Linked DNA regions of Anolis sagrei. Each later gene encodes a partner of the first gene's protein in a complex. Links are inferred from orthologs where the notes say so. Each region holds a gene or a part of one and is shown in the gene's direction. Other genes may lie near its edges.

The links.
Region 2: CMC1 (region 1) and SMIM20 share a complex: the UniProt entries of both Homo sapiens proteins name them as parts of the MITRAC (mitochondrial translation regulation assembly intermediate of cytochrome c oxidase complex) complex. The link is inferred for Anolis sagrei from reciprocal best matches to the Homo sapiens genes CMC1 and SMIM20.
Region 3: CMC1 (region 1) and TIMM21 share a complex: the UniProt entries of both Homo sapiens proteins name them as parts of the MITRAC (mitochondrial translation regulation assembly intermediate of cytochrome c oxidase complex) complex. The link is inferred for Anolis sagrei from reciprocal best matches to the Homo sapiens genes CMC1 and TIMM21.

Annotation. Positions count from the first base shown.
Region 1 is NC_090026.1:83,826,408-83,836,641, reverse strand, and holds the start of CMC1 (COX assembly mitochondrial protein homolog), read left to right. Parts: upstream 1-6,096; 5' UTR 6,097-6,156; coding exon 6,157-6,202; intron 6,203-10,234. UniProt on the Homo sapiens protein: Component of the MITRAC (mitochondrial translation regulation assembly intermediate of cytochrome c oxidase complex) complex, that regulates cytochrome c oxidase assembly.
Region 2 is NC_090025.1:112,997,116-113,007,453, forward strand, and holds the start of SMIM20 (small integral membrane protein 20), read left to right. Parts: upstream 1-5,765; 5' UTR 5,766-5,847; coding exon 5,848-5,956; intron 5,957-10,338. Other genes in the region: SEL1L3 (protein sel-1 homolog 3), read right to left, coding at 1,771-1,956.
Region 3 is NC_090024.1:72,467,503-72,478,732, forward strand, and holds the start of TIMM21 (mitochondrial import inner membrane translocase subunit Tim21), read left to right. Parts: upstream 1-6,892; 5' UTR 6,893-7,102; coding exon 7,103-7,400; intron 7,401-9,186; coding exon 9,187-9,249; intron 9,250-9,360; coding exon 9,361-9,458; intron 9,459-11,230. UniProt on the Homo sapiens protein: Participates in the translocation of transit peptide-containing proteins across the mitochondrial inner membrane.

The DNA of each region.
Region 1 (10,234 bases):
TACACATAACTGATGTCTGTCCTGATGAGCCAGTCAACCTTTGTGTTTAACTCTCCCTTTATTTGATCTGATTTTAGGGATAACAAACAGATCTTGCTTCCAATATTACAATTGTGTTTCACTTTCTCAAATCACATAGGCCTTTTGGTGCCACATTGTCCATCCAGATGAGAACAAATATTCCAAACCTGATGGTGGAATGCTAATAATAATAGTCACACAGCACTAATTTCTAACCAGTTTATACTGTTGGGCAAATCTTGCTGATTCCACCTTCCTTGAACAGTTGCATGCTGCTTCCAGTCCCTCAGGCTGGCATCTGTTGTCACCTGCTCTTCCAAAAGAGCCCAAATGAGCTGACTTTTCTGAATTGTTGTTGACAGCCACCAACAGAATAACTTTTTCACCTGTTTGGGAATTGATATATGCATATATTTTAATTCTCCTATCTGCTTGGGAGTGGATGTAAGACCAACTGCAACTTTCTCTCATGAAATTGTGCCCAAGGAATGCAGACTACTGCAGCAATCATTTGGCATTGAAGTCATGCCTACAATAGTACTGACACTTTTTCATGTCAGGAGCGATTTGAGAAACTGCAAGTCGCTTCTGGTGTGAGAGAATTGGCCATCTGCAAGGACATTACCCAGGGGATTCCTGGATGTTTTACCATCCTATGGGAGGCTTCTCTCATGTCTCCAAATTAGAAGAAGACGGGAGCTCACCCTGTTCCCCGGATTTAAACTGCCAACCTTTTTTTCAGCAGCCCTGCTAGCACAAGGGTTTAACCCACTGCACCACTGGGGGCTCCTTAGTCTTGTCATGACATACCTGTATAATGGTGCTCTGAATAGATTTTACTAGGGGAAAAAATCCCCAGTAATCTATCAATCACAGCTCCAAGATGTTGAAAGCACTGCATTGGCACAAGGTGGCTTCGCCCACGATTCACCAGAAAAACATGCCTGGAAAGTAAGGAGAGCATAGACTTAATGTTTCTGACAACCTATGGGAGAGAAGCAAATCTGGTCAGTGCATCATCCAATTATGGATATAAATGGCTTATTGTTGCCACCAATGAGCCATGAGAGCTACTGTCACTTTTGTAAATATCAGATAATTTACCATCCTCCAGCTCAGATCTTGAAGTTGATTGTGAACCTTGCTAACAATCATCTTCCAAGATATGTGCCTTGGATACTGTCTTTCCTTTCCTTCACTGGAAGAATCTTGGTTACCTAAAGTAGCATGTTTTTTCCCTTTAGGTTTGTTGTCCTGACACAAAATGACCACTCCATTTTTAGATGTCACTTTTGTTCCTTTATTAAAATCTGTGATAACTTTCCCCTAGGAATTCCTAGGTCTTCCAGCATGACTCTGTGGTCACCATCTGATGGAAGCTGACTATAGAATTGCATTAGATAATCTAGATTCCATGAGAGGTGTTATGTCTAGCAATCTCTAGGTCCTCAAGGATCTAGAGATGCGTAGAAAAACATTTAACATCAAATCTGTAAACAATCAAATCTGAAAAAGTAAAAAATACAAATGTGGAGGGGTAACTATAATTTTCTCTGCTGCCTGAGGGCCCTTCCAGACATGACTAAATCCCAGGAGGAACTGAGAAATTAAATCCCAGTTCTTCCAAGGATTGGGTCCCCACCCTGAATGCAAACCCCACACTTTCCTGGGAAAAATAATATCTCTCTGTCCTAGGAAACTGCCACTGTCTTCTAACAATCCCTTAACTTTTTAATGCTATTAAACTCCACTTACTTTTGCTTCATATTGAAAGTCTCCTCACTTTCATTAGTGTTGAATGCATTTCACAGAAAAATGCTTGGGGGAAAAGTTAAATACACTTTATGTTTTGAAAAGGTGTTATTGGACTGTGTTTTGTTCATCTTGGAGTCCAGAATCAATGTTTTAATTTTTTCTTAACCACACCTTTCAACAGATTACAATTTGCCTTTATTTCAGCAGTGGAAGGTGTGGGGACTTCAGAAATAGATAATTAATCTCTATTTCTATCTATAGTTTCATAGTTAACACTGTCTTGGTTGAAGTGTAAAAACACATTCGCACTTGAGGAAATGGGTGATTAGTTGATCAAATGACAATATGAATGGTAGACAAACATAAAAATGGCTGCAAGGTGGAGCTATTTGTGAGCAGGCACATTCTGTACACAGGAAATATATCTGCTGTCATTGACGTACTGCACTTCTCAGAGACCTCAAGCACTTCCAAAAGTTTTCTTCACACATGCACTAGAAAAAGATTCTCGTCTAGAAGAAGTCTGATTTCTAAATTCATTCTTCGTTTCTGTCTGTTGATCCAGGAAGTAACCCCTTTTTTAACAGACCGGTTTTCACAGAGTATCTACACACACTATTGCTTCAAGTAAGTCCCATTCCATTCAGTGGCCCTTCCATACTAGTGGCAGATCTACATTGACCCATTATCATAGTGGCCAATCTGGGATGGTTTACACAACCACCTCTCCCCTGGCTACTGCAGAAGTGGGAGGGAGTCCTGACTGCCCAGTAATACTGAATATGGATTGGTGCGCCAGATGGCCACCCTTTACATACCTTCCTTTTTTCCAGGCGCAACGTGGATCCGGGTAGCAGTCTCCAGACATGATATGCATCCTCACAGTCAATCGTCACTTTCAGTGATGTCAACAGGACCGACTGGTGACAAAGGACGGGGGAGCAGAGTAACTGCCCACTCTCTTTCCTGAGAGAGTGGGCAATTACTCTCCTGAGGATTGTCTTGTCATTCAAGTCGACGTCACAGTAGGAAATTGTTGATCCGAAGGACACATATCATGAATAAACAGTTCAGGTCCAGGCTATTTGTCAAATCGCATCTCCCAGTATAGACTATCATGTGCATTGCAATCTACAGAGGAGGCTCTCCTCTCAGTCCCATCCCTATCACAAGCTAGGTTGGTGGGAATGAGAGAGGGGGCCTTTTCTGTGATCGCTCCCCGTCTCTGGAACTCCCTCTCTTTGCTCCCCGTCTCTGGAACTCCCTCTCTAAAGAAATAAAAACAGCCCTACCCTTGTCTCCTTTAAGAAAAAAACTCACCTATACACTTTAGCGTTTGGAGAGGAGGAGGATTAGGATTGCTGGCTAATCTACGTGTATTAGGCGGTTGTTATGATATATTTTAAATGAAACACCGTTGTCAGCCGTTTCAATGTAATATCTTATAATTTGTGTGGGTGTACATTGTAATGTTTATTTATGTTTTAGTTTTTATGTCTTAATGGATATTTCTTGTTTTTATTTTATTTTGATACTTAATTTCTTTGTTATAAGGTTTCTGTTGTTACCGTCCATTATTTTGATTTGTCTGCAGCTTCAAGGCTTGGCTGCTTCCTGCCTGGCGGAATTCTTTATTGGGTGGTGATTAGCTGGCCCTGGTTGTTTCTTATCTGGAAGTAAGAAACAATTTTGTTCCTTCCCTAAGAACATCGGTCCCCACCTGCTGGCTGGATGATGAATCAGCACTCTACAGGTGGCTGCTAGGCCTCATTAGGCCTCGATTCACCAATCTAGATTACCAGAATAAATGAACTCTGACAGAATTTCTGGCATTTTACTTCTGGACTCTGACAAATGGTATTTCTGACTTCTTGACTCTGACCTTGGCTTCATTTTTACCCTTGTATTGAAACCTGACCCTACTGCTTTTCTGACTACTGACATTCTTGACTCTGGATTGTGACCTTGGCTAATGACTTTGTTTCTTGGCTTGGAACCTGACTCCTCTGCTTTTCAGACTACCGGTATTACTGTATCTGAACTGTGACCTTGACTTCTGTTTGTTCCTGACTTGACTCTGTTGCTTCACCAGCTTGACTTCAGCTTCTTGGACTTTGAATCTTGGCATAGGCTTACACTTCCTGAATCTTGGCATAGGCTTACACTTCTTGGTTTTGGATTATTGGCTTTCGCTGGCTTACTCCTTACTAAATGTGACATCCTGCATATGTAACAAAGCTTCTGACAGAGAAGTTCCTTTTTACGCCTACCCCTTTTCCTCTCTATCTGGAAGGAGCAGTATTGTGAAGATGCTGAAAAAGAGCAGGATAAATACAGATTTTCAGTGTCATGTTGCATAAGCATGTTTTCAGTAAACTATGTAGGAAAACCTTGAGGTGGGAAGAATATTCTGCTCTTTCTGATGCACCTGTAGTTGTGTGTGCCTGCCAGCAACAGGCAAGATAATCAGCAACTGTCCAGAATCTACAGAACAGCAAAACAGAAAGAAAAGGAAAAGCAGAGAAGACTGCCTCACCCCCCCCCCCCCCCATAATGTTAAAGAACGATAAAACTGGGTTGTTGTGTGTTTTCCGGGCTGTATGGCCATGTTCCAGAAACATGTTCTGGAACATGGCCATACAGCCCGGAAAGCACACACAACAACCTAGTGGTTTCGGCCATGAAAGCCTTTGACAGACCATAAAATGATTTGTTTAACCAGTTCAAATGAAGATCAAAAGAAAAGTGGGAGCTGCTGAAAGAAGAAGAAGAAATATTTGGGTGCATTTTGAAAGAATTTTTCAAGTAGCCTCTATAGAGTTTCAAAATGTTTTTATGTGTGTGTGTATATATATATATACACACATTCCAGGATATATGACTATGAACCATAAATGAATTTTGTGTTCAGACTTGGGTCACACCTCTAAGATACTTCATTATGTACAAATATGCAAATAAAATATGGAACCTGTAGTACATTTTGCCTTCTTGTTGCCAAGTCACACATATTGTTTGCAGGCCTCTGTTTCCATCTGTAAAATAAATTTGGAGGATATGGAGCTGTTTTAGGCAATTATTTTCTGTGGACATAATCTGATCCTGCCAGAATTTGCTGAACATGACTATTACGTCCCTCTTACTGAAATGTGGAATGCATGATCATTCTGAGTTAAGCACAGATACAAAGGTGCATCTGAAGGCATGGACAAACTTCAGCGCTCCAGGTGTTTGGGATTTCAACTCCCACAATTCCTAACAGCCGGTTCAGTACTGTGCACTATTCAGATCATTGAAGGTTACCAGATGTTTGCTATATAATGCATTTTGTTGTGGTTTAAAATTGTTTGAAATGTTTTTATGAATTTTGTTGTTATTTTAACCATGTTGAAATTCAGGCTTGTCCCCATGTAAGCTGCCCCGAGTTCTTTTGAGAAGATGGAGGCGGGGAACAAAAATAAAGTAGTAGTAGTAGTTGTTATTATGATTATTATTATTTGAAACACAACGAATTCACAGCAGACAAGATCACTCTGCTGGCTATTGTATTGGATCACACGTCGAACACTTCCCAAGTGTCTAGGACTGTGTGATGGATCGGCAAATAATGCATGCAGATCTCAGTAAGGTGGCCTTCTGCAGCTGGCAGATGGTAATCTTGTCAGCACTGATTGTGTTTAAGTACAGGCCAAGGTCTTTAGCACTGCACTCATTGTGCCGATCACCACTGGGACCACCTTGACTGGCTAGTGCCAGACTCTTTGCAGTTCAATCTTTAAATCCTCATATTGTGTCAGCTTTTCCAGTTGTTTCTCTTCAATCCTGCTGTCACCTGGAATTGCAACATCAACAGTCCATACTTTGTTTTTTAACATGATTGTGAGGTCAGGAGTATTATTATTATTATTTAATGACACCGCTTTAACTGGCACAGCTCGATGCAATGGAATCATGTCACTTTACAAGGCCTTTTATCTTTTCTGCCAGAGTGCTGGTCCTTCACAAAACTACACATTCCAGGAGTCCATTGCACTGAGCCATGACAGTTGAAGTGGTGTCAAACTGCATTGATTCTACAGTGTAGATGCACCTCATGACTCTGTAGACTAGGTCTAGATGACTTTGGAAAATATCTTATCCTCTCAAGACACAAAAGGGAAGGCAAAGGCAAGACTTAGCTTTCTCTGAACAAATCTTGCCCTGGAAATCCTTTGAAAACAGACTTGAAGGCGGGCAACTAACGAGATTGGAGTTGGCAATTCAGTTCCTGCGCAGGCGCAGAAGCACCGTCTGATTGAGAAGGCAGTCCTTTCTTCGCCCTGCTCTAGTGATGACAACGGGGGCGGGACGTACTGAGCATGCGCTGTAGCCTAGCCGGAAATGGTGGACACGCGAGGAGAGAGCGGAGACGGAGAACGTCCCAGAAGTGCGAGCGCTTTTGAGTAACTTGTTGGGCGGAAGGGCTGGGCTGAAGGAATCTCCCTTTCCCTGTCTGTAAACTGACTCTTCTCAAATGGAGATTCCTGGGGGTGCATCTCCTCTGTAGAATTAATCCACTTTGTCACAGCTTTAACTGACATGGCTCAATGCTATGGCTTTTCGCCTCCTCTGACAAAGCGTACTAGTGACTAATCAAACTACAAATCCCATTATTCCATAGAATGGGCCACTGACAGTTAAAGGGCTGCCAAGCTGCATTCATTTCAGAGCACAGATCAGGCATGGGCTAACTTGGGTCCTCCAGGTGGTTTGGACTTCAACTCCCACAATTCCTCACAGCCAACCGACTGTTAGGAATTGTGGGAGTTGAAGTCCAAAACACCTGGAAGGCCCAAGTTTGCCTATGGCTGGTATAAATGCACCCTAGGTATAGATGCTCCCAAGGATTAAGGGACTCCCCAGTGCCACAGCGGGTTAAACCACTGAGCTGCTGAACTTGCTGACCGAACCATTGGCGGTTTGAATCCAGGGAGCGGGTTGAGCTGTTAGGCCCAGCTTCTGCCAAACAAGCATTTTGAAAACATGCAAATGTAAGTAGATCACTAGGTACCGTGGGAAGATAACGGCGCTCCATGCAGTCATGCCAGCCACATGACCTCGGACGTATCTATGGACATGGTGCACCCTTACCTTCCCATCTATTGATCTACGCACATTTGCATGTTTCGAATTGCTAGGTTGGCAGAAGCTGGGGCTGAGAGCGGAAGGTCATGCCACTCCCTGGATTCAAACCTGCGACCTTTCACTCAACAAGCTCAGCAGCTCAGTGGTTTAACCAACTGCATCACGGGGGGCTCCCAGAATGAGTGAATAGTAGGAGAAAAATTGCTCAGTAATAATTATGACGGAATTCTTAAGACTGTTAATATGCTGCACATATCATTAAGAGGAACGCTATATACCATATTATCTTATAAAGTTGTAAGTTTGAAGTTAAGTTAAATGCTGCTTGGAAGTTTTTTCCAGGAAGGCAAAATAGAATCCGGGGAGTGGGGTGAGCTCCGGCTGTTAGGCCCAGCTTCTGCCAACCTAGCAGTTTGAAAACAAGCAAATGTGAGTAGATCAATAGGTACTGCAGGAAGGTAACAACACTCCATGCAGTCATGCTGGCCACATGATCTTGGAGGTGTCTATGGACAATGTTGACTTCAGCTTAGAAATGGAGATGAGCACCACCCGCCACAGTTGGACATGATTAGACTTAATGTCAGGGGAAACCTTGACCTTTACTAGGATTATACTCTGGAGAAGCTGGTTTCACAGCCATTTGTATTGAGAGCTAGCTCAGATATACCCTCCTGCTCATTAAGGCAATTGGGAATGTATTTCCCTTCTTCCTGTGTAGAGTTGCTAGTTAGTGTTCCCTTTCTGCTATGTAGAGTTGCTAGTTAGATTTATTAAGAAATACATGGTTCTTGGAAGTTTTATTTGTTTGGTTTTGGAGCTAGTTATCAGAAAAACACAGCTCCTTGTTTTACAGGTTGAATACTCCTTATTCAAAATGTTTGGGACCAAAACTATTTTGGATTTCAAAATTGAGATATCTTGGAGATGGGACCTAAGTCTACACAAAAATCATTTATGTTTCATATACACTTTATACCAGGGCTCAACAAACATTTTAATCAGAGGGCCAGGTCACAGTCCCCAAGGCTGTTGGAGGGCCGGATTATAATTTGAAAAAAATGAATGAATTCCTATGCACACTGCACATATCTTATTTGTAGTGCAAAAACACTTAAAATACAATAATGAAAATGAAGAACAATTTTAACAAATATAAACTTATTAGTATTTCAATGGGTTGTGTGGGCCAGCTTTTGGCTGGTGAGATAGCGTTGTTGTTGTTGTTTTGTGCTTTCAAGTCATTTCAGACTTAGGTTGACCCTGAGTGAGGGCTGGGTAATGACCTTGGAGGGCCGTATTCTGCCCCCGGGCCTTAGTTTGAGGACCCCTGCTTTATACACATAGCCATGAGGCTGTTTTATACAATATTTTAAATACTTTTTGATTTGTGTTCTTTAAACCATCAAAAGCAAAGGTATCACTCAGGCAACACAAGTGGAGGGTTAGTCTTTTATAGTATTTTGGATTTTGACGTTTGGGAGAAGGGACGTTCAACCTGTATTTAAAGTGTATGTCATAGGTAGCCAAATGGACACAGGAACATAGGAAGCCATGTTGCATTGAGAGAGTTTGATTGCCCAAGGTCACTCAGTGGCTTTCCGTAACTTAATAAGGATTCACACCTTGGTCTCTGTAGCCCCATCTACACTGCCATATAAAATCCAAATTATCTGTTTGGAACTGGATTATATGGCAGTGTAGACTAATATAATTCAGTTCAAAGCAGATTTTATATGGCAGTGTAGATGGGACCTAAGAGTCATAGTACAATGCTCAAATCACCACATTGTTTCTCTCTAGAGATCCATGGCATTTTCTTATATTCCCCAATTCAAGTGCTTGTTTATTTACAGTATTTTTTCATGGGACTGTGAAATGGTTGTTACTATAGGGTCTTGCCTTTGGCTGTGATTAAGATCCCTGAAGCTACTGTCTATATAGGAAGAGAAGTCTCGATTGGTGTCAGGGAAGGGATCGCTCCTTTTACAAGCAGCAGCTTTGGGGAAGCTTTTTTTACCAGGTCACAGCAAAGGGAATAGGAGCCCCTGGTGGTACATTGGATTAAACCCTTGTGCAGGCAGGACTGCTGACCGAAAGGTACATAGTTTGAATCTGAGGAGCAGGGTGAGCTCCCATCTGTCAGCTCCAGCTTCTCATATGGGGATATGAGAGAAGCCTCCCACAAGATGGTAAAACATTCAGGCATCCCCTGGGCAACGACCTTCCAGACGGCCAGTTCTTCCACACAAAGAGTGACTTACAATTTCTCTATTCGCGCCTGAAATAAAAAAGCAAAGGGAATTAACATCTTCACTGTCCTTTGCAGTTCCATTTTCCCTTCCTTCACTGCTTTTTTTTCATTCCATTCACAGAGTTATCATTGAATATAGTTTGGTCCTTAAATTGATCTATTGAACTATAAAGTCTAGGCTTGGTAATCTATGGAATTATGGGAAAAAATATGGATTTATTTTCAGTGACCAAAAATAATGTCACGGAGAATGGCAGTAATGTACTGTACAAGTGAAGGCAGGGTTTTTTTCACAGTTGAATCTCTTGATATATATCAACCAGCAGTTTTCAGATCCCGATAAACTACTACATTCCCAGTTTATTTAAGCACTCCATCTCAGTATTTTAGTCATAGTTTGGGAATATATTGATTATAGTTTAAAGAATCTGAATGAAGTTGCCACAAACCCAAAGCCGCTCTTAATATATGCAATTCTAGTCAGTTCTACATTTAATTGCAACTTAACATTTAAATAGTGCTTGTAACTGGATTCAAAACACCGATAAATAGCAATGCCTGGCTAGTGTTACTCTTCGCTAAAGTGAGTGCTGACACGCGTTTTTATCACAGCTAACATAGGCTATAGAAATTGCCACTTGAGAATGGAGAAAAGTGTTCATCCTGTGGTCTACTTTCAATTCTTAAAGCTTACCTTCTGTCTGTTCAACCATATAGTGGCAGTCTTGGCTGCAGTCCTTTCATCCTGATTCCAGATACATGTTTTATGTTCATCACTTAGCTCCCATGTTTATTTGTTTTGTCCTACCCACTGCACCACACCCCATAGTGTCATACAGAGGGAGGCCAATCTTCTGTTTTGTGTTTTCACCTGTCCTATAAAAACACTTCTTGAGTTTTGAGGAGCTCTATACTGCCAGGTTCAGTTAAGGCACATTCTCACCTGTGACTAGTAAGTGTATGACTGATATATGAATGTCGGAGACCTTACTCTTGGGACCATTCTTTCTAGCTGCAAGATGTTCTGAAAAAGCAGTGTGTTTGGCTTTGGCAATGTTAAACTCCTTAAGTGACTGCCAT
Region 2 (10,338 bases), on another chromosome or scaffold:
GAGGTCTTATATCCCAGGATCTGATCCCGGGTTTTCTTTTTATCCCAGATTATCTGGTAGTGGGGACTCATATAATCCAGTTTAAAGCAGAAAACCTGAGATCAGATCCTGGGATATAGGGCCTGTCTGGAGGGGAGAAAACAGGTGACAAGAGAGAGGAAGAAGGTATATGTGGGCAATGGAGGATCCTTCCACACAGCCCTATATCCCAGAATATCAAGGCAGGAAATCCCACATTGTATGAGTGTGGACTCAAATAACCCAGTTCAAAGCAGATATTGTGGGATTTTCTGCCTTGATATTCTGGGATATAGGGCTGTGTAGAAGGGCCCTTCGTCATAACCTTCGTCAAAACCTTGAGGAAAGAAAGGAAGAACCACAAAGAAAAGAGTGAACCCAGCTATAGATACAGAGCCCTTCCACACAGCCCTATGTCCTAGAATATCAAGGAAGAAAATCCCACAATATCTGCTTTAAACTCGGTTATCTGAGTAATAGAATCATAGATTCATAGAGTTTGAAGAGACCTCATAGGCCGTCCAGTACAACCCCCTGCCGAAAAGCAGGAAAATTGCATTCAAAGCACCCCTGACAGATGACCTTCCAGCCTCTGTTTAAAAGCTTCCAAAGAAGAAGCCTCCACCACACTCTGGGGCAGAGAGTTTCACTGCTGAATGGCTCTCACAGTCAGGAAGTTCTTCCTGATGTTCAGATGGAATCTCCTTTCTTGTAGTTTGAAGCCATCGTTCTGTGTCCTAGTCTACTAAAAGGTCTGGGGTGCTTTGATTGTGCTTTTCCTGCACGGCAGAAGGGGGTTGAATTGGATAGCCCCTGGGGTTTCTGCTACTACTACTATTAAAAAGTCTGGGTGGTCATCTGTCTGGGGTGCTTTCATTGTGCTTTTCTTGCATGGCAGAAAGGAGTTGGATTGGGTAGCTCCTGGGGTTTCTGCTATTACTACTACTACTACTACTAAAAAGTCTGGATGGTCATCTGTCTGGGGTGCTTTGATTGTGCTTTTCTTGCATGGCAGAAAGGAGTTGGATTGGGTAGCTCCCGGGGTTTCTGCTATTACTACTACTACTACTACTACTACTAAAAAGTCTGGATGGTCATCTGTCTGGGGTGCTTTGATTGTACTTTTCTTGCATGGCAGAAAGGAGTTGGATTGGGTAGCTCCTGGTGTTTCTGCTATTACTACTACTACTACTACTACTACTACTACTAAAAAGTCTGGATGGTCATCTGTCTGGGGTGCTTTGATTGTGCTTTTCCTGCATGACAGAAAGGAGTTGGATTGGGTAGCCCCTGGGGTTTCTGCTGCTGCTGCTGCTGCTGCTGCTACTACTACTACTACTAAAAAGTCTGGATGGTCATCTGTCTGGGGTGCTTTGATTGTGCTTTTCCTGCATGGCAGAAAGGAGTTGGATTGGGTAGCTCCTGGGGTTTCTGCTATTATTATTGTTGTTGTTATCATTAATAATAATAATAATAATAATTGTCCACACTCAGATAATGTGGGATTTTCTGCCTTGATATTCTGGGATAGAGGGCTGTGTGGAAGGGCCCCTAAATAATAGTGAAAGAATGGATGAGGCTTGTGGAAGGAATGTGAGCTCAGGGGCTTTGGGGCTCAGCCAAGTGCTTGGGGAGCCCGTTTGGCTGCTTCTGGTGGCAACCAGGGAATGGCACCCGGACCCCATCCTGCCAAACACATGTAGGGTGGGCACCCCGTGAATATGAAGGGGGGCAACCCCAGATGCGACTCACCAGCAGCAGCAAGAGCAGCAGCAGGCAACGTTTGGGGAGGGAGATGAAGCCCAGGTTGTGGCTGCTTCCAAAGCGCGCAGGGGAAGGCACAGGTGAGGGCGCAAAGCTCTCCATCGCGGTGCCCACCGCGTCTCCTCCCTGGAAATCCGGCCACGGAGGAGGAAGGAGATCCTGCTTCCTGGACATGCCTCCCAGGACGAGGAGGAGGAGGAGAAGGAAGCAGGAAGGGCCGCCCAGACTAGGCAGGTGCAGCCACAGGCACCCGAAAGCACTCCCCGGCTCAGGATCTGTTTTTCTTGCGCCTCTGGCGCTTATTCTTGGAAAGGTGCCTTTCCAAGACTTCAGCCAGTCCTACACCTGAAACACACCTTTCCTGCAGACTTGATGGTTTCTTTTTGAACCAGAATTCACCACCTAAGCTCTCTTCTTCCTCCCTTTGATCCCCTCCTGGCTGTGCCTATTTCTTCACCCTGAAAGGACAAAGTTGGGTGCCTCTTATCCAGGACAGGCAGAATTCATGCTTTCATTGCCATGGCTCTCTGGAAGCATGGCTTTGCAGTTTGGGGAGGCTCCAGAACTCTTTGGGAGAAGAGACTAAGTAAAACTACAGCTCCCATGATTCTATAGATCAGTGGTTCTCAACCTTCCTAATGCTGTGACCCCTTAATACAGTCCCTCATGTTGTGGTGACCCCCAACCGTAAAATTGTTTTCGTTGCTACTTCATAACAGTCATTTTACTACTGTTATAAATCATAATGCAAATATCTGATATGCAAGATGTATTTTCATTCACTGGACCAAATTTGGCACAAATACCCAATGCAACCACATGTAAATGCTACTGGGGTTGGGGGAGGATTGATTTTGTAATTTGGGAGTTGTAGTTGCTGGGATTTATAGTTCACCTATAATCAAAGAGCATTCTGAACTCCACCAGTGATGGATTTGAAGCATTCTGAACCCTACCAATGGTGGAATTGAACCAAACTTGACACACAGAACGCTCTCGACCAACAGAAAACACTGGAAGGGTTTGGTGGGTGTTGACCTTGAGTTTGGGAGTTGTAGTTCACCTATATCCAGAGAGCACTGTGGACTCACTCAATGGTGGATCTGGACCAAACTTAGCACAAATAGTCAATATGCGCAAATGTGAACACTGGTGGAGCTTGAGGAAAATAGACCTTGACTTTTGGGAGTTGTAGTTGCTGGGATTTATAGTTCATTACAATCAAAGAACATTCTGAACTCCACCAACGATAGAATTGGCTCAAACTTCCCACATGGAATCCCCATGACCACCAGAAAATACTGTGTTTTCTGATGGTCTTTGGCGACCCCTCTGACATCCCTTCGCAACCCCTTCAGGGGTCCCGACCCCCAGGCTGAGAAACACTGCTATAGATAGATCTATTTATTGAGTAGTCCACTGACCATATCAAAAATAAAAGACAAAAACAAAAGCACACAAATAGATACTAGTCACTATCTTAAAACTCCTGGCTGGCATCACTGGGTTGCTGTGAGTTTTCCAGGCTGTATGGCCATGTTCCAGAAGCATTCTCTCCTGACATTTCACCCACATCTATGGCAGGCATTCTCAGAGGTTGTGAGGTCTGTTGGAAACTAGGCAGGTGAAGTTTATATATCTGTAGAACGATGCCCAGGATGGGAGTAAGTACTATTGTCTGCTTGAGGCAAGTGTGAATGTTGAATTGGCCAGCTTGATTAACACTGAATGGCCTTGTAGCTTCAAAGCCTGGCTGGTTGCTACCTGGAGGATCCTTTGTTGGAAGATGTTACTTGGACCCAACTTCTCCCTGTCTAGAATTCCACTGGGTTTTTTTTAGTGTTGCCCTTTATTTACTGTCCTGATTGTAGAGGGCTTGTAGCCAGATTTTGTTCATTATCCTGGTTTCCTCCTTTCTGTTGACATACTTGTGGATTTCAAAATCTACACTCAGGCCCCTTCTACACTGTAATATAAAATCCAGATTAACTAATTTGAACTGGATTATATGGTAGTGAAGACTCATATAATCCAGTTCAAATGAGTTAATCTGGATTTTATATTACAGTGTAGAAGGGGTCTGAGTGTAGATTTTCCCCAGAAAGAAAATAAGACAGGTTGGCAATTGGATCCCAGTTGGCTGTTCTAGCCCCGTAAACTGTGGGAATACTGTCTGGACTGCAGTATTCTGCAGTCCAGACCTGGAAATAGTGGATTTATTGCGTGCCTTCCAAGAAGGCATGAAATAAATCCACTATCAAATTAATTCACTACAAACCAGTGCATGAAACAATGGCTTCAAGCTACAGGAAAGGAGATTCCATCTAAACATTAGGAAGAACTTCCTGACTGTGAGAGCTGTTCAGCAGTGGAACTCTCTGCCCCAGAGTGTTGTGGAGGCTCCTTCTTTGGAGGCTTTTAAACAGAGGCTGGATGGCCATCTGTCAGGGGTGCTTTGAATGTGATTTTCCTGCTTCTTGGCAGGGGGTTAGATGGCCCATGAGGTTTCTTCCAAGTCAATCATTCTATGATTCAATGATAAGCATTCAACCTAATCCAACATGGCTCTTTCTCAAAAAATATTATATAAAGTAGTGAGGAACAGCAATGAACAACAACAATGTAGAACAATGGTTCTCAACTTTCCTAATGCTGCGACCCCTTAGTACAGTTCCTGATGTTGTGGTGACCCCAACCATAACATTGTTTTCGTTGCTACTTCATAACTGTAATTTTGCTACCGTTGTGAATTGTAATGTAAATATCTGATATGCAGGATGTAGTTTTATTCACTGGCCCAAATTTGGCACAAACACCCAATGCTCCCAAATTTGACTACTGGGGGGTTGATTTTGTCATTTGGGAGTTATAGTTGCTGGCGTTTATAGTTAACTTACAATCAAAGAGCATTCTGAACCCCACCAATGATGGAATTGAACCAAACTTGGCACACAGATCTCTCACGATCAACAGAAAATACTTGAAGGGTTTGGTGGGCATTGACCTTGAGTTTGGGACTTGTAGTTCACCTCCATCCAAAGAGCACTGTGGACTCAAACAATGATGGATCTGGACCAAACTTGGCATGAATACTCAATATGCCCAAATGTGAGCACTGGTGGAATTTGGGGAAAATAGACATTCGGGAGTTGTCGTTGCTGGGATTTATAGTTCACCTACAATCAAAGAGTATTCTGAACCCCACCAATGATGGAACTGAACCAAACTTGGCACACAGATCTCTCATGATCAACAGAAAATACTTGAAGGGTTTAGTGGGCATTGACCTTGAGTTTGGGAGTTGTAGTTCACCTACATCGAGGGACAACTGTGGACTGAAACAATGATAGATTTGGACCAAACGTCTCGAATACTCAATATGCCCAAATGTGAGCACTGGTGGAGTCTGGCGAAAATAGACATTTGGGAGTTGTAGTTGCTAGGATTTATAATTCACCTACTATCAAAGAACATTCTGAACCCCACCAATGATGGAACTGAACCAAACTTGGCACACAGATCTCTCACGATCAACAGAAAATACTTGAAGGGTTTGGTGGGCATTGACCTTGAGTTTGGGAATTGTAGTTCACCTACATCCAGAGAGCACTGTGGACTCAAACAATGATGGATCTGGACCAAACTTGGCACGAATACTCAATATGCCCAAATGTGAACACTGGTTGAGTCTGGGGAAAATAGACATTTGGGAGTTGTAGTTGCTGGGATTTATAGTTTACCTACAATCACAGAACATTCTGAACTCCACCGATGATAGAATTGGGTCAAACTTCCCACACAGAACCCCCATGACCAACAGAAAATACAGTGTTTTCTTATGCTCTTTGGCGACCCCCCAGGCTGAGAAACACTGACGTAGAAGATGTTGGCCAAATGAGGAAGTGAATCTGTTCAGCTGACAGTGAAGCATGGGTTGTTCCCCTTTGCGGCCACGAGGGGGCGTTGCAGGGAGGTGCTTACATCCAAACTCTTCCTGTCCCGGAAGCGGAAAGAAGGCTCCTGTGGAGTCGTGCGGGCTCTTTGCAGAAGCTTCTTCTTGCGTGGATGGCGCGCCTGCCTCGCACCCTCCTGGTCTTCGGGGGCTTCGTGGGCCTGGTGGGGGCGGCCCTGTACCCCATCTACTTCCGGCCCCTGATGCACCTGGAGGACTACAGTAAGTCCTCTCCTCCCCCTGAACTGATCCTGCCTTAGGCAAAGCTCCCCTAGGATGCTCCAGAGCCCTCTGCTTTGGACGCCCCCTCCCAGGAGCCTCAGCCAGCCTGGATGATGGGAGCTGCAGTCCAAAACATCAGGAAGGTCAAGGCTTAGGAAACACTAAGCCAGCCCAGCTTCCAGGCTTCAGGCCCACAAAGGAAGGAAGGGCCAATGTGCATGCCCATGTGATCAGCAATGTCATCCTGTGGGAATTAGGTAAAGGTTTTCCTCTGACATGAAGTCCAGTCGTGTCCAACTCTGGGGGTTGCTGCTCATCTCGAAGAGCCGGCGTTGTCTGTAGACACCCCCAAGGTCATGTGGCTGGCATGACTGCATGGAGTGCCATAACCTTCCCGTTGGAGCAATACCTATTGATCTACTCACATTTACACGTTTTCAAACTGCTAGGTTGGCAAAAGCTGGGGCTAACAGCAGGAGGTCATGCCACTCCCCAGATTTGAACCTGCGATCTTTCGGTCAGCCATATAGTGTTTGGGTGTAGTAAAATGTGAATTAGTAGAACCCTATACGGTTCCAGCCCAGTTTACTTATCCCAACATATCCTCCCCTATAATAAATAATAATAAACTTTATTTATACCCCGCCACCATCTCCCCGATTGGGACTCAGAGCGGCTTACATGAGGCCAGGCCCGAACAACAATTACAATAAAGAAAACCCAAGACACAACCGAAAATGCGAACAATAAACAGTAACATCATAATTACATAAAATATGTGGATACATAACAATATAAAAAATTACAATAGACACAGGCACAGTGACAATGGGTGGGCTACATGTAACGATTAAAAGACAAACTGATTAAAACTAATTAAAAACTAAGACAAGAACCATCAAGGCTGTTAAGATGTCCTGGAGGGGCCCTGCTCTCGGTCCCACCACCCTCGCAATCGCGTCTGTTGGAGACAAGAGACAGGGCCTTTTCTGTGGTGGCCCCCTAGCTATGGAACTCTCTCCTGATTGAGATCAGATCTGTCCCCTCCCTCCTGACCTTCAGGAGGCTAGTGAAATCCTGGCTATGGAACGAGGCATTCTCAGAATGATGGCGGAGACTGGCAATTGATTAAAGTTATCGACCACATATGCAGACTGAGTGGGACGTGATTTTATCTTGCCGAACTGTCTTTTATGTATTTTAGTCTATATGTATTTTAATTTATTGTACAATGTTTTAGATTGTATTGTTAGCATTCAATCCTTGCTATTAGCCAGTCTGAGTCCCTCTATGGAGGTAGAGAAGATCGGGATACACAAGTTTTAAATAATAATAATAACAACAACAACAACAACAATAATAATAGAAGCTCAGCTATAATGCGTACTGCCGATCTGAAAAGATACCATCAAATTTAAGACAGTCAATGAACAATACTGGGGTTCTTACATATACTAATCCTTCCTTCATATAAAGGATATCTTACCAACTCGGCCACCTATGATTTTGAAGAGAATTATCATGACAACATTAGGACTAATAATCAAAATTATTTTAGTATAGAATATTTTTTAAAAAAGAAAATGACATAGAAAGTGGTTGGCCCATTGGAACTGAAGGTACCCATCTTCATTGCAGAAGATATAGAGCAGTGGTTCCCAACCTTTGGTCTTTCGGGTGTTTTGGACTTCCAACTCCCAGAAATCCCACACATGGAGCACAGTTACCTTCCCACCGGAGCGGTACCTATTGATCTACTAACATTTGCATGCTTTTGAACTGTTAGGTTGGCAGAAGCTGGGGCTGATAGTGGGAGCTCACCCCGCTCCCTGAATTTGAACCTGCGACCTTTCGATCAGCAAGTTCAGCAGCTCAGCGGTTTAACCCACTGTGCCACCGGACCACTGTAAAATAAGATGGAAGTCGCCCATCTGTGAATGGTTAACATGTGAAAGGGGAAAGGGTGTAACCCAGGCATGGGCAAACTTGGCCCCTCCTGGTGTTTTGGACTTCAATTCCCACAATTCCTCAGATAATCCAGATCGAAGCAGATATTGTGGCATTTTCTGCCTTGATATTCTGAGTGGAAGGGCCCCTAGTGTCCTGGTTCCCAACATGAGGCACACACCCCACAGGCGGGCAATTTGAGAATGAGTTCTTACCAGTGAGTATTTTGCATTTCTTATGGTTCTAGCAGGCCTCATACACAGTATATCAATATATATTGTGCCATACAAATTTTAAAAACTAAAATCAAAATGTACACAGTGGTCAACAGGTGGCAGTGGAGAGGGGGAAGACTCTCTGATATAGAGCATGGAGTTCACTAGCGAGTGCATGAACACAGAAAAGTGAAATAACTTCCATTCCAAACACGCCACTCATCTTACTGACCTTCCAGACAGGCCTATACCCCAAGATCTGATCCCAGGTTTTCTACTTTAAACTGGATTATACGAGTCCCCACTGCCAGATAATGTGGGATAAACAGAAAACCTGGGATCAGCTCCTGGAATATAGGGCCTGTCTGGGGGGGGGGGGGGGGGCATAGGCTGGATTTACACTGTTCTATATTCCAGGATCTGATCACAGATTATTTTCTTATCCCAGATTATCTGGTATTGTAAACTCATATAATCCAGTTCATTGCAGACAATCTGGAATCGGATCCTGGGATATAGTGTAGTGTAGACTCAGCCTCAGTGTTCTTTTAACATTGCAAGCTATACAAAATATATCAAAATATATTTTTGTTCAGCATTTGAATATAGCAAGAAATCTGAAAAAAAAGTCCAAAACACAACGATTACTTTCATATATAAGTCAATGTTTTGTATGAGTAATAATAAAAAATATAATCAGCTGCAAGAAAATTAATGTCAGTTGACAGGATATTCCCGCATAGTCTCACCAAATACTGTACATGAAGTTGGACACTTATATTACCCTGAATTCGATGCAGATGACTCAAATCAATTGTGCCTCGAATATGACTACTGCCCATGTGATAGTTGTTCTATTTTATTACTTAACTTTATCAAGCACAAATTGTATTCATTAGCAAAAACTGGCATTGTCAGGTTTGAGCATAGCAATCTCACATTTTTCATTCCCATGATTTTTCCTGATATCTTCCTGGCTACTTAGAATACTTGGTTTTTGTTTTTGAAAAAGAGCCTTTTTTAATAGATAATGAGCATAGAAAGAGCATGCATTGAGACAGCATTAACTGTCAAAAAATGACATTGACCGTATTGTCAGAAAACCTACAAGCTGAAATTTTAGACCTAGCTTCACTCTCTGTGGCTCTTTCTACACTGCTTTATAATCCAGATTATCAAAGCAGATAATCTGGATTTTATATGGCAGTGTAGAAGTTGGCTTTTTGAATAATACAAACTGTATGTCGGGGAAAATCAGGATTTTAGGGATGCTATTTGAGAATAAGCCACCCCAAACTACAAATCCCATGATTCCATAGCATTCAGGTATGACAATGAAAGTGGTGACAAACTGCATTATTTCTACAGTGTAAATCGGGAATGGGCAAACTTGGGCCTTCCAGGTATTTTGGACTTCAACTCCCACAATTCCTAACAGGCTGTTAGGAATTGTGTGAGTTGAAGTCCAAAATACTTGGAGGGCCAAAGTTTGCCCATGCCTGGTGTAGATGCACCCTGATGTCTGATGCTCTGCTCAGCTCCTGGAAACCTAGTGATAAGGTTGCTTTATTTAAGGTACACAACAACAAATGTTCCTTTTGCTGCGAGTATACTCATATATCATAATCAAATATGAGAAACAGATACATGTTACTTTCTTTCTGCAGAATAGACCAATTTTTCTTTTAAATTGCTTCCGTTCCCCCAATTTGGAAATGATGAACAGTTCCAAACAAAACTCATCAGACTTTCCCCATTTCCATGACTCGCTGTCTTCTCCTTCCTTTTGGATCCCTTTTTTAAAAGGATGGATATACAACTGTTGTGACCTATGCCTTCTTTTCTAATGCCAACAGAGGGAGCTCAATCTGTTCTTAGCACTTTCAGAACATATAAAAATGTGATGTGGTATGTTCTGCCGTGAAATGCATTGCAATGCTTCACCCTCACCCCAAAGCCTAGAAGAAAGAGAAATCCAAGTGAGAAAACAAAAGATGATGTGAGTTGTGGAAAGAAATTTGGAAAGACCTGAAATCTATACAAAGCTGTGAACTCTCTTTAAGAACAGGCTTTTGCAACATGTTGGGGAAGAAAAAGATTCCAGTCACTTTAAAGCAGTGGTTCCCAACCTTTTTTTGACCACTTGAGACTACTTGACCAAAGACCACTTTGACCAGGGAACACTCTCCAACATTAGTACCAAAAGGGTTACGAATCCAT
Region 3 (11,230 bases), on another chromosome or scaffold:
CATATAGCCCAGAAAATCAAGGCAGAAAAGCCCACAATAGCTGCTTTGAACTGGGTTATCTGAGCCCACCCTGACATATAATCCAAAGCAGATAATGTGGGATTTTATTCAGCTGTGTGGAAGGGGCCTGGGTTTCCTGTTGTGTGCCTTCTGGTTTCTGACCTATGTCAACACTGTCACAAAGTTGTCTTCGGCAAAAGTGAATCAGAAAAGTTCATTATTTATTTACGACATTTATATGCCGCCCTTCTCGCCCCAAAGGGGACTCAGTGCGGCTTACAAGGTATATATACATAAAATATATTATATTATTAGCATAGTACAATATTATTAAATATTACTATACTAGCTGTCCCCTGCCACGTGTTGCTGTGGCCCAGTCTGTTGATCTGGAAAATAAAGGGAATGAGAAAGTGTTGGTTTCTAATCTATGTAATTTCTTTATGCTTGTGGGTAAACAATATTTCTTGTTTCTTTCTCAGTGTTGATGTGGAGATGGTCTGGTTTGCCTACTCTGGAACATGGAACATATTATTGTCCTTCTTTAAGGATCCCTTTCAAATCTATGATACTATATCTGTGTGTGTGTGAATCATATGAATCTATATCTATGGTTGGGTGGCTCTTTGTCAGGAGGACTTTGTTTACGTTTTCTTGCCCTGATGAAGGGAGTTGGATTGGATAGTCTTAAGTAATTTCTGTCGGTCATGGGGGTTCTGTGTAGGAAGTTTGCCCTGATTCTGTCGTTCATGGGGTTCAGAATGCCCTTTGATTGTAGGTGAACTGTGAATCCCAGTGACTACAACTCCCAAATGTCAAGATCTATTTTCCCCCAAACTCCATCTGTGTTTATATTTGGGTCATATTGAGTGCTTGTGCCAAGTTTGGTCCAGATCCATCATTGTTTGAGTCCACAGTGCTCTCTGGATGTAAGTGAACTACAACTCCCAAACTCAAGGTCAATGCCCACCAAACCCTTCCAGTATTTTCTGTTGCTCATGGGAGTTCTGTGTGCCAAGTTTGGTTCAATTCCATCGTTGATGGAGTTGAACTATAAATCCCAGAAACTACAACTCACAAATGACAAAATTATATATATTTTTGAGTGATGTCTCACAACACTTCTTGTGTTGTGAGACATTTTGTTGCCAAATTTGGTGTGATTTCGTTCATTGGTTCTTTTGTTTTTAAGGAACTCATTATGCACAGAGCATTTATATATATATATAGAGAGAGAGAGAAAGAGATTGTACTATACCATTAGATTGTAATATTATTAGTAATATTATATGTAATATAAATATATAATTATTATATCATATTAGTAGTAGTATAAACCATCAAGCACTTTAAGGTCTTCCGGAGAGGCCCTGCTCTCGGTCCCACCACCATCGCAGTCGCACTTGGTGGAGATGAGAGACAGGGCCTTCTCTGTGGTGGCCCCCCGGCTATGGAACTCTCTCCCCAGCGAGATTAGGTCTGCCCCCTCCCCAGTGAGTTTGCCTCTGAGGCTGAGAGAATGTGACTTGCAATGCTTTTCCATGGCTGAGTGGGATTCGAATCTGGATCTTCAGAGTCTTTGGGAGCATCAATGCTACAGAAGGAATTCAGTTTGACATCACTTTACATTGCCATGGCTCAATGTTATGATTCTCAATGTTATGGAATGGTGGTATACAGGTCTTTAGGCTTCTACGCCAAAGAGTGCTCAGGCCTTGTCAAACTACAAGTTCCCATGTTTTCACAGCATTGAGTCATGGAGGTCAAAGTAGCGTCAAACTGCACTCATTCTGTGGTGTAGATCAGGCATGGGCAAACTTTGGCCCTCCTGGTGCTTTGGGCCCCTTCCACATAGCTGAATAAAATCCCACATTTTCTGCATTGAACTGGATTATATGGCAGTGTGGACTCAGATAACCCAATTCAAAGCAGTTATTGTGGGATTTTCTGCCTTGATATTCTGCGTTATATGGCTGTGTTGAAGGACCCTTGGACTCCACCCACCCCCCCCCCCCCACACACACACTTCCTAACAGCTGGTTTGTGTCCTATCACACTAATAAACAGGGTCAGTGAGCATGAGGCAGGACCTTCTCTGTTGTGGCACCTTCATAATGGAACTATAGTCAGACCTCCTCATTTGCAGGCTTGACTTTTGTGGATTTTATTATTCACAGGTTTGAGTAAGGCCATATAAAATCTAGATTATCTGCTTTGGACTGGATTATATGGCAGTGCAGACACACAATCCAAAGCATATAATGTGGATTATCTGCGTGGATAATCAGGACTGTAAGGTTTGCCTAAGTCCTCCAGTGTGATTCTATGGTCAACTTCTGCCAGAAATTGAATGTAGTGGATTATCTCCATCTCAACACTGACAAAGGGAGTGTGTCCCAGGTGGTGCTTCTAGACCTCTCAGCGGTCTTCGATACGATCAACCATGGTATCCCTTCTGGAACGCCTGGCGGGAATGGGAATCAGTGATACTGTGTTGCACTGGTTCTGGTCGTACCTCTCAGGCAGGTTCCGGATGATGGTGCTTGGGGATAGCTGCTCCCCAAAAAAGGACAATTGAAACCACCCAATGAACATGGGTAAATCTGAAGTCACATACTCTCAGCATCAAAAGAAGGCAAAAGCAAATTCCCTCTGAACAAATCTGGATAATACAACCGCATGATACATTCACCTAGGGGTTATAGTGAGTCAGAAATGACATGACAGCACACCACAACATGTTGAGTGGCCATCTCAAGCAGCAATCTGGTGTTGCAAAAAGGTAGTGAGTGAATTACGAAGATTTTTAATTTGTTGTTTTATATTTTTACTGCCAGGGATGATTAAAAAAGTACGTGAAGATTTTTTTATTGCATGAGCCAGAATAACCTGGCATCATTTATCACTTTGCCTCTAGCAGCAACATGTGTTTGACCAGCCCTGATGGGCAAAAAAGCACATAAGATAGATGTTAAACATTCTGGATCACACTTCATGGGAGATATGTGGTACACATTTTAAATATATATCTGTACTTAACATTTATTAAGCAAATTGACTTCTAGTGTTAGGACCTTATAAATTTAATGATAGCTGCTAGGGTTGTCAGTGCTAAATGTTTCAAAGACTACGTGTTTATACATAATTAAATTTGCTTAAGGGTAATTCCAGCTGCATCCTCAGATGCACGATGCGACATTCAAACTTCAAATATATATGTAGTTACATAGTTGTGGGAGTGGGATATAAGTGCAATGGGATACAACAACTGTATTAGGAACATAAATCATAAACCTTCCAAGGGCTTTAAACTGGTTTAGCACAAATATCTCAGCATCTGTTATTAGTGCACAATATGGTTGGCAAGTAACTAGCGTCAAAGCATTTTCTTTCCAGAAGTTTTTTTTTTTTGCTTAATGCATAATCTTATTTTAAAGAACAGGCTATACACACAGCCATAGTCAAAATTAACTATAAATGTAATGTAAGAAACAATCTTCAGACCTTTTGTATATAAAATGAGATTTGTTAAAGTCTCCCAATTTTTTTCAGATCTTCCCTCCAGATTCATTTGCTACACAATAATATCAAAATCTCTGACAAAACTGCAAAGTGTTCTAAAGTTGGTTTTTGTATGTATGTATGTATGTATGTATGTATGAATTGTATGTATGTATTTAGAATATATATATTCCACCTTTCTCACCCCAAAGGGGACTCAGAGTGGATCACAGAATATATGTAAGGCAAACATTCAATGCAGTTTATACAATGTCAAGACAGACAACTGTACATTTGTTGCTGTCCGTTCAGTCACTTCCAACTCTTTCTGAGCTCATGGACCAGCCCAAGTCAGAGCTCCCTGTCAGCTGTTGCCATCCCCAGCTCCTTCAAGGACAAACCAGTCACTTCAAGGATACCATCTTGCCCTTGGTCTGCCCCTCTTCATTTTTTCCTTCCATTTTCCCCAGCATCATTATTTTCTCCAAGCTTTCCTGTCTTCTCATTATGTGGCCAACGTACTTCATCTTTACCTTTAATATCCTTCCCTCCAGTGAGCACTCAGGTATTATTTCCTGGGGTATGGACTGGTTTGATCTTCTTGTGGTCCAAGGCACTCTCAGAATTTTCCTGCAACAACACAGTTCAAAAACAACTGCACATAGATAGAGGTATATATAGAATTTCCCATCTTTGGCATCTCGAAGGTTGTGCTCAGTTCTGGCCACGAGGGGTGCTGTCGCTCCATCATCCCTACTGAAAAGCTTTTGTTCATAAACTTCCTCCTTGATTGAATTGCCAGGATTTTTCTAGCATTTACTTACATATACCTAAATACCTCCATGCTTTTAAAGCAGCATCTATTTATCTACTCTCAATTGCTGCTTACAATCTGCTAGGTTGGTAGGAGCTGGGCTGAAGGCCAGGAGCTCACCCTGAACCAGGCATTGAACTGCCAACCTTCTGAATAGCCAGATTTACTGCAGCTGGTGGTAAAGTTGCTGGGCTAATATGTTTAGGATGGAGAAGAGAAGCCCAAAGATGCATCAACACTGTAGAAATAATGCAGTTTGACACTATACATTAACTGCAATGGCTTAGTGCTATGAAACGCTGGAACCTGTACTTTAGTGAACTATTAATACTCTGGAAGAGAAGTCTAGAGACCTTATAAAACTAAAGTTCCTGAGTCCATGGCACTGAACCACGGCAATTAAAGTGGTATCAGACTGAATTATTCTACAGCATGGAAGTGACCAATCTTTAATATCTTACAGTTGGGATTTTATTATTTTAGATGCACTATGATTCTATGATGTTAGGTATTTATTTATTTATTGTGTCATCATGATGTTAGGTGTGTCAAGATGATTTTCTTCAATAGGATGTGTCTTACTTTCCCTACATGTGATGAAGTATTTGTATTTCCTGTTCCTACTCCCACAATATGCCACTGCGTGTATGTCTGGATATTGTACCACCTCTTGAAGAAACAGACTGCAGCCCACAAAAGTACACCATAAAATAAACCAAATAATCTTATGAGTGTCACAAGTTCTCTCTTTCTCTCTGTGATTATGGGTTGGGTATCTTTTATTTGCTATTCCAAAATATGAAACATTCCTGATTCTGAAAACATCCACATAGTATCAACTTTGCTTTCTAGTGGTTCAATGTATAAAAACTTTGTTTCATGCAGTTATTAAAAATATTGTGTATAATGTTTCCGGCTATATGTATATGGTATATATGAAACTATACATTATGTATTTAGACTTGGATCCTATCTCCATGATATCTCATTATGTGTGTACATATAAATACAGATGTTCGCAATTCAGGGGGGGGGGGGGGGGATATGAAAGCTCCAACATTTGTGAGTCCCTTCAGGGAGAGAGGGCAGGTTAAAAATAAACTATTATTATTATTATTATTATTATTATTATTGCCCTAAACATTCCAAATAAATAATATTTAACCTGTATTGTGACAAACTAATAGCTCTTTGAAAATACAGCAATGTCTGTTGGCCTTTGTTCCCTTTTCTTGTTATTGCCTTAATAATAATAATAATAATAATTTATTTATACCCCGCCACCATCTCCCCAAGGGGACTCGAGGCAGCTTACATGAGGCCACGCCCAACAATACAGTAAAACAATATAACACAAGAACACAACAACAACAAAAAGAAAAGAAAATTGCATAAGATACAAAACCAATATAAATAAACAGAATAGCAATATAAAATCCGAGCATTAAAACACAGAATATTGATCACGGTGGGCATCGCCTTGTTATTGCTGGACTCCTTGTGTGAAGTACACCAATGCTGTAAACATCCAATGTACAATTGCCACATGCTAGTGAAATGTTCAATAAGTAATCTATATAAATAAAAATGTAATGTTCGTTGGTGGGACTAACATAACTCAAAAACCACTGGGCAAATTGACACCAAACTTGGACACAATACACCTATCAGGCCAATGAGTAACCATTACTCATAAAAACAATGAAAACTAGACTTTAAAAGCCAAAAAATACACTACAATGCATGCACATAACCACATTGTTCCCCTGACATTAAGTCCAGTTGTGTCCGACTCGGGGGGGGGGGGGGTGGTGGTGCTCATCTCTATTTCTAAGCCCAAGAGCTGGCATTGTCCATAGACGATGTGGCTGGCATGACTAAATGGAGCACCATTACCTTCCTGCCGGAGAGGTACCTATTGATCTACTCACATTTGCATGTTTTCGAATTGCTATGTTGGCAGAAGCTGGGGCTAACAGCGGGAGCTCATGCCGCTCCCTGGATTTGAACCTCCGACCTTTCGGTTACCAAGTTTAACAGCTCAGCAGTTTTACCCACTGCACCACTGGGAGATTCAGCGTAACCACATGTGTATTTATGCATAACCACATAAATACACATATACACAAATATATACACACACAAAACACATATACACAGACTGGGCCACAGCAACGCGTGGCAAGGGACGGCTAGTAAAGATATAAAATGGCAAAAGCGGGGGGGGGGGCAGAGATGTCTGTCTATTCAGCGGGCAGGCTATAATAAAAGTCTAAATAAATTTTACAAAGCCTAAAGTGCAAGTAATGATCTCATATAAGCAGCACAGCATGAGAACCTTCCTTTTTCCTCAGTATTAAACACAAGAGTTATGTTGTGTATATCCTTAGGCTTAAAAAGAAGTGTTTTTTTCCTGCAGAAGGCGCACTCTCTGCTTAGACTTCCTTCCTGGAGGAAAGGATTAGCCAGGGAGAGACTGAAAGAAAAATCCTTGCAATGCTTTTGAAGAGCCGATGGCCCTTTGCATCATGGTAGTTGTAGTTCCCTTTAAGAGGCTACCCAATCAACAAATCGGTGTGTCCAGCAAACTACATGTCCCAGAAACGCTTGCAAAGAAACACAATGGCGGGGTAGATTGCAAAAGCTGCTTTTACTTTTGATCAAAGTGCAGCAGGAAATATAACCCCTCTTTCTCTCGTTAAGTCCGGGACAATGTTTTCAATCTTTGGCATCGGAGGGGAGAGGAGTTTGGGTGTCATCTAAGGGTAATATTTATTCAAGGCAGCCATGCCCCCCTTCGCAGTCTTTTCCTCCTTTCTGCGGGGAATGCACTGCAATGACAAGGTGCTGGGGAAGTGGTTGCACTTGCAGCATAGGAAAGCGCGTGAAAGGACTTTGGGGTGCTTCAGGCTCGGGGCAAGCCCAGGGGAGTATATTTTGCACCCTAGAGTAGCCTCTGGGGGGCTACCACGAAAGGTGTGGACGCCAGCAGGGGCCTTGAGGGCTGGGAAAGGCCAAAACAGCTCCCAGGTCCCTGTGCAAAGAAGCCAGAAAGGAGGGACCTCTCTCTCAGCTGCTCAGAAAGGTAAGAGATGCCTATGGCTGTCAACCAAAGTTAGGCAATGAAGGCTGAAATGCTTCTGTCCTCTTACCTGGAAATAAACCTGAGTATTGCTTTCAGTTGATATGAATGGGGTGCATCGTGCCATAACTTTGGTGCATCCCCTTCCAAGGAGTGCATCTGCACTGCAGAATTAATGCACTTTAGTGCCACTTTAACTGCCAGGGCTCAATGCTATGGAATCTAGGGAGTTGCAGTATGGTGACACACCATGCTTTGGCAGAAAAGGCTAGGGCCTTATCAAACTTTTGTTGTTCATTCAGTCGTTTCCGACTCTTCGTGACCTCATGGACCAACCCACGCCAGAGCTCCCTGTCGGCCGTTACCACCCCCAGCTCCTTCAAGGTCAAGCCAGTCACTTCAAGGATCCCACCCATACATCTTGCCCTTGTTCAGCCCCTCTTCCTTTTTCCTTCCATATTCCCCAGCATAATTGAATTCTCTAAGCTTTCCTTTCTTCTCATGATGTGGCCAAAATACTTCATCTTTACCTCTACTATCAAACTTATCTACTTATCAAACTACGAGTCCCCAAATTCCATAGATTAAGCCATGGTACTTAATGTGGTGCCAAACCGCATTAATTCTATAGTACAGGTGCACCTTTGCTGTCAATTGAGCTGTGGTATCCTGCAAGATGTAGTTTTGCAAGGACTTTTGCCTTCTCTCCCCCAAGCATGCTGGATCCTCATCAAACTACAATTATTATACCATTGTATCGAGCCACAGCAATTAAAGTGGTACCAAAACGGCATTAATTCCACAGTGGAAGGAGGTGAATTTACAGATATGCTGTCCAAAGTTATGGTCTGAATGCCTGTCAGCCAAAATAGGTTTTTAATGTGGTACACAAAGAAAGCATATAAAGTATGACCTCCATACAACTGACATCAAAAAGCCGCACAACTGCACTTTGTACAGTTTAAAACTACTTGACAGAGTGCAAAAATATTCTGACACTTAGAGTCCTTCCACACAGTCATATAACACAGAATATCAAGGCAGATAATCCACAATATCTGCCTTGAACTGGATTAGCTGAGTCCACACTACCATATAATCCAGTTCAATGTGGATTTTATACAGCTGTGTGGAAGGGGCCTTAGTCTGTCTTTACACACTATAGAATTAATGCACTTCACTGTAGCATTAATGCAGTTTGAGCCCACTTTAAGTGCCATAGCTCAATGGGAAGTTATAGTTTGATGAGGCATTAACACTCTTGGACAGAGAAGGTGAAAGATCTAGTTGCCATGATTCCATAGCATTAAGCCATGACAGTTAAAGTGATGCCATTCTGCATTGATTCGACAGTGTAGATGTACCCTTAGGGACCATCCAGACACGCTCTATATCCCAGGATCTGATCCCAGGTTTTCTGTTTATCCCAGATTATTTGGCAGTGTGGACTCATATAATCCAGTTTAAAAGAGAAATCCTGGGATCAAATCTTGGTATATAGTGCCTGTATGGAAGGGCCCCAGATTATATGAGTCCCAACTGCTAGATAATCTGGGATAAACAGAAAACCTTGGATCAGATACTGGGGTATATTACCTATCTGGAAGGGCCTCAGATGAGAAGGAATAGGCCAACTTCACACTTTTTGAGGTTGCTGAGACATGTAAAGTAATTTCCATTGTTTTTGAAACAAAAGCTGCTACTTTCATATCTTTACCAAATTAGAGGAAACCACTAGGAGCATGCTGTGTTACCTGATATTGTATAACTTTTCTTTTTTTTCTTCTAGTGAAAGAAGCTGGAAGAGATTTCACCTACTTGATAGTGGTGGTAGTCGGGATTGGTGTCACAGGTTGTTGAAACTGGATGAAAACATTTTCCCAACTTACAAATGTTTTAAGTTTTGGCCATTTAAGTACACAAATTCTTGTGTCATTTACATTTTATTTCCCCTCTGTTTCAGGTGGTTTATTCTATGTGATTTTTAAAGAGTTGTTCTCTTCTTCCAGTCCTAGTAAAATCTATGGAGATGCCTTGGAGAAATGCAGAGCTCACCCTGAGGTTGGTTTGCCTGTTTTTATGAAGGAGTGTTTCTCTCTGAAAGAGTGCCCCTTTATGTGAAAGGAAGCTTTGCCTTCTAGAACTCTTTAAATGTGGGAATGAGTGGCTAAAGGTCTGTTTTTTGTTCTGCCAAAACAGGAGAACTAAATCTGGATTTTCTTAGCAATTTTTAAAATGTTATCACTACTGGAACCTGTCCTAGTAGTTAGGGAAAGTAGTTGCTTTGCAAAACAGCTACTAAAAGGAGACATATAGAAGGATCAATTTATACTATCTGAAACTGGAATTTTACATTTCACAGTATATTCCCTTTGCTAGGTAAAGCTACTTAATTAAGCTTTTATTTACTTAAAAAAACATAATCTATGCTATATAATTCATCAGACCTTATTTTCCATTGATAAAGGAGTCTGAATTTCACATAAGGTGCTGGAATTTATATTTTTGGAAAATGGAGAATCAGGTTCCTGCTTTTTTTCCCCTCCCTCCCTAGCCCCTCCTACACTACCATATAAAATCCAGATTATCTGCTTTAAACAGGATTATATGGCAGTGTAGACTCAGGGGCCTTCTACACTGCCATATAATCCATATTATCAAAGCAGATAATCCACATTATATGCTTTCTATTGGACTATATGAGTCTACACTTCCATAGAGCCCCGGTGGCGCAGCGGATTAAACCACTGAGCTGCTGAACTTGCTGACCAAAAGGTTGGCAGTTCAAATCCAGGGAGCGAAGTGAGCTCCTGCTGTTAGCCCCAGCTTCTGCCAACCTAGCAGTTCGAAAACATGCAAATGTGAGTAGATCAATAGGTACCGCTTCTGCAGGAAGGTAACGGCGCTCCATGTAGTCATGCCAGCCACAGGTGTCTACGGACAATGCCGGCTCTTCGGCTTAGAAATTGATAAGAACACCACCCTCCAGAGTCGAACACAAGTAGACTTAATGTCTGGGGAAAACCTTTACCTTTACCTACACTGAGTATAACCCAGTTCAAAGCAGATAATCTGGATTTTATAAGGGAGTGTAGAAGGTGCCTCATATAATCCAGCTCAAAGCAGATAATGTGAATCAACTGCTTTGATAGTCTGGATAGCAGTATAGAAGGGGCCCCCAAATCCCTGGGATTATTCTAGATCAAATTTAAGACCATCACATCACTCACTATAGTCTCATTTCAATACCTGCAGACTCCTCTTCCACCGCAAATAATCATGTAAATACATTTCTTCAACATCAAATCTCTTCTTTTATCTCTCTCTCTCTCTATTTTCAAATATATCTTCTTGTCTGATTAAGTGATCGGCAAATCTCAGAAGCTTTTGCATGTTTGTGGTTAGCATTACACTAATAGGGATTATAGAATTACACTAATAGGATATTATGTTAATAGGGATTTTAGAATTTTCTTTATTCGTTCTGTTGTCATGGATATTCCCAGAGATACTTGGCAGTATCCTTGATGAAAGAACAAGAGGCAAGACAGAAGTAGCATCAAAATACTGGGCAGGGAAGATCAGTTTACCCTGATTATCTAGCTTTAGTAATTTTTCAAGTGTGCTGTATTAATGGGAAAATCTTCCCATATCACCCCAGATGCCAAATAATCTCCTGCCTCAGACTCCGTGTTCAAATACATGTTAGGATGTACGTGTTAGTCTGGGTACCCATTCTTCACAGGACACCTGTTAGCCCCGATGGATGGTGGTTGCTCTGCACTATTGGACATTTTATGACCTATTGGAATTAAGTGCACCATAACCTTATT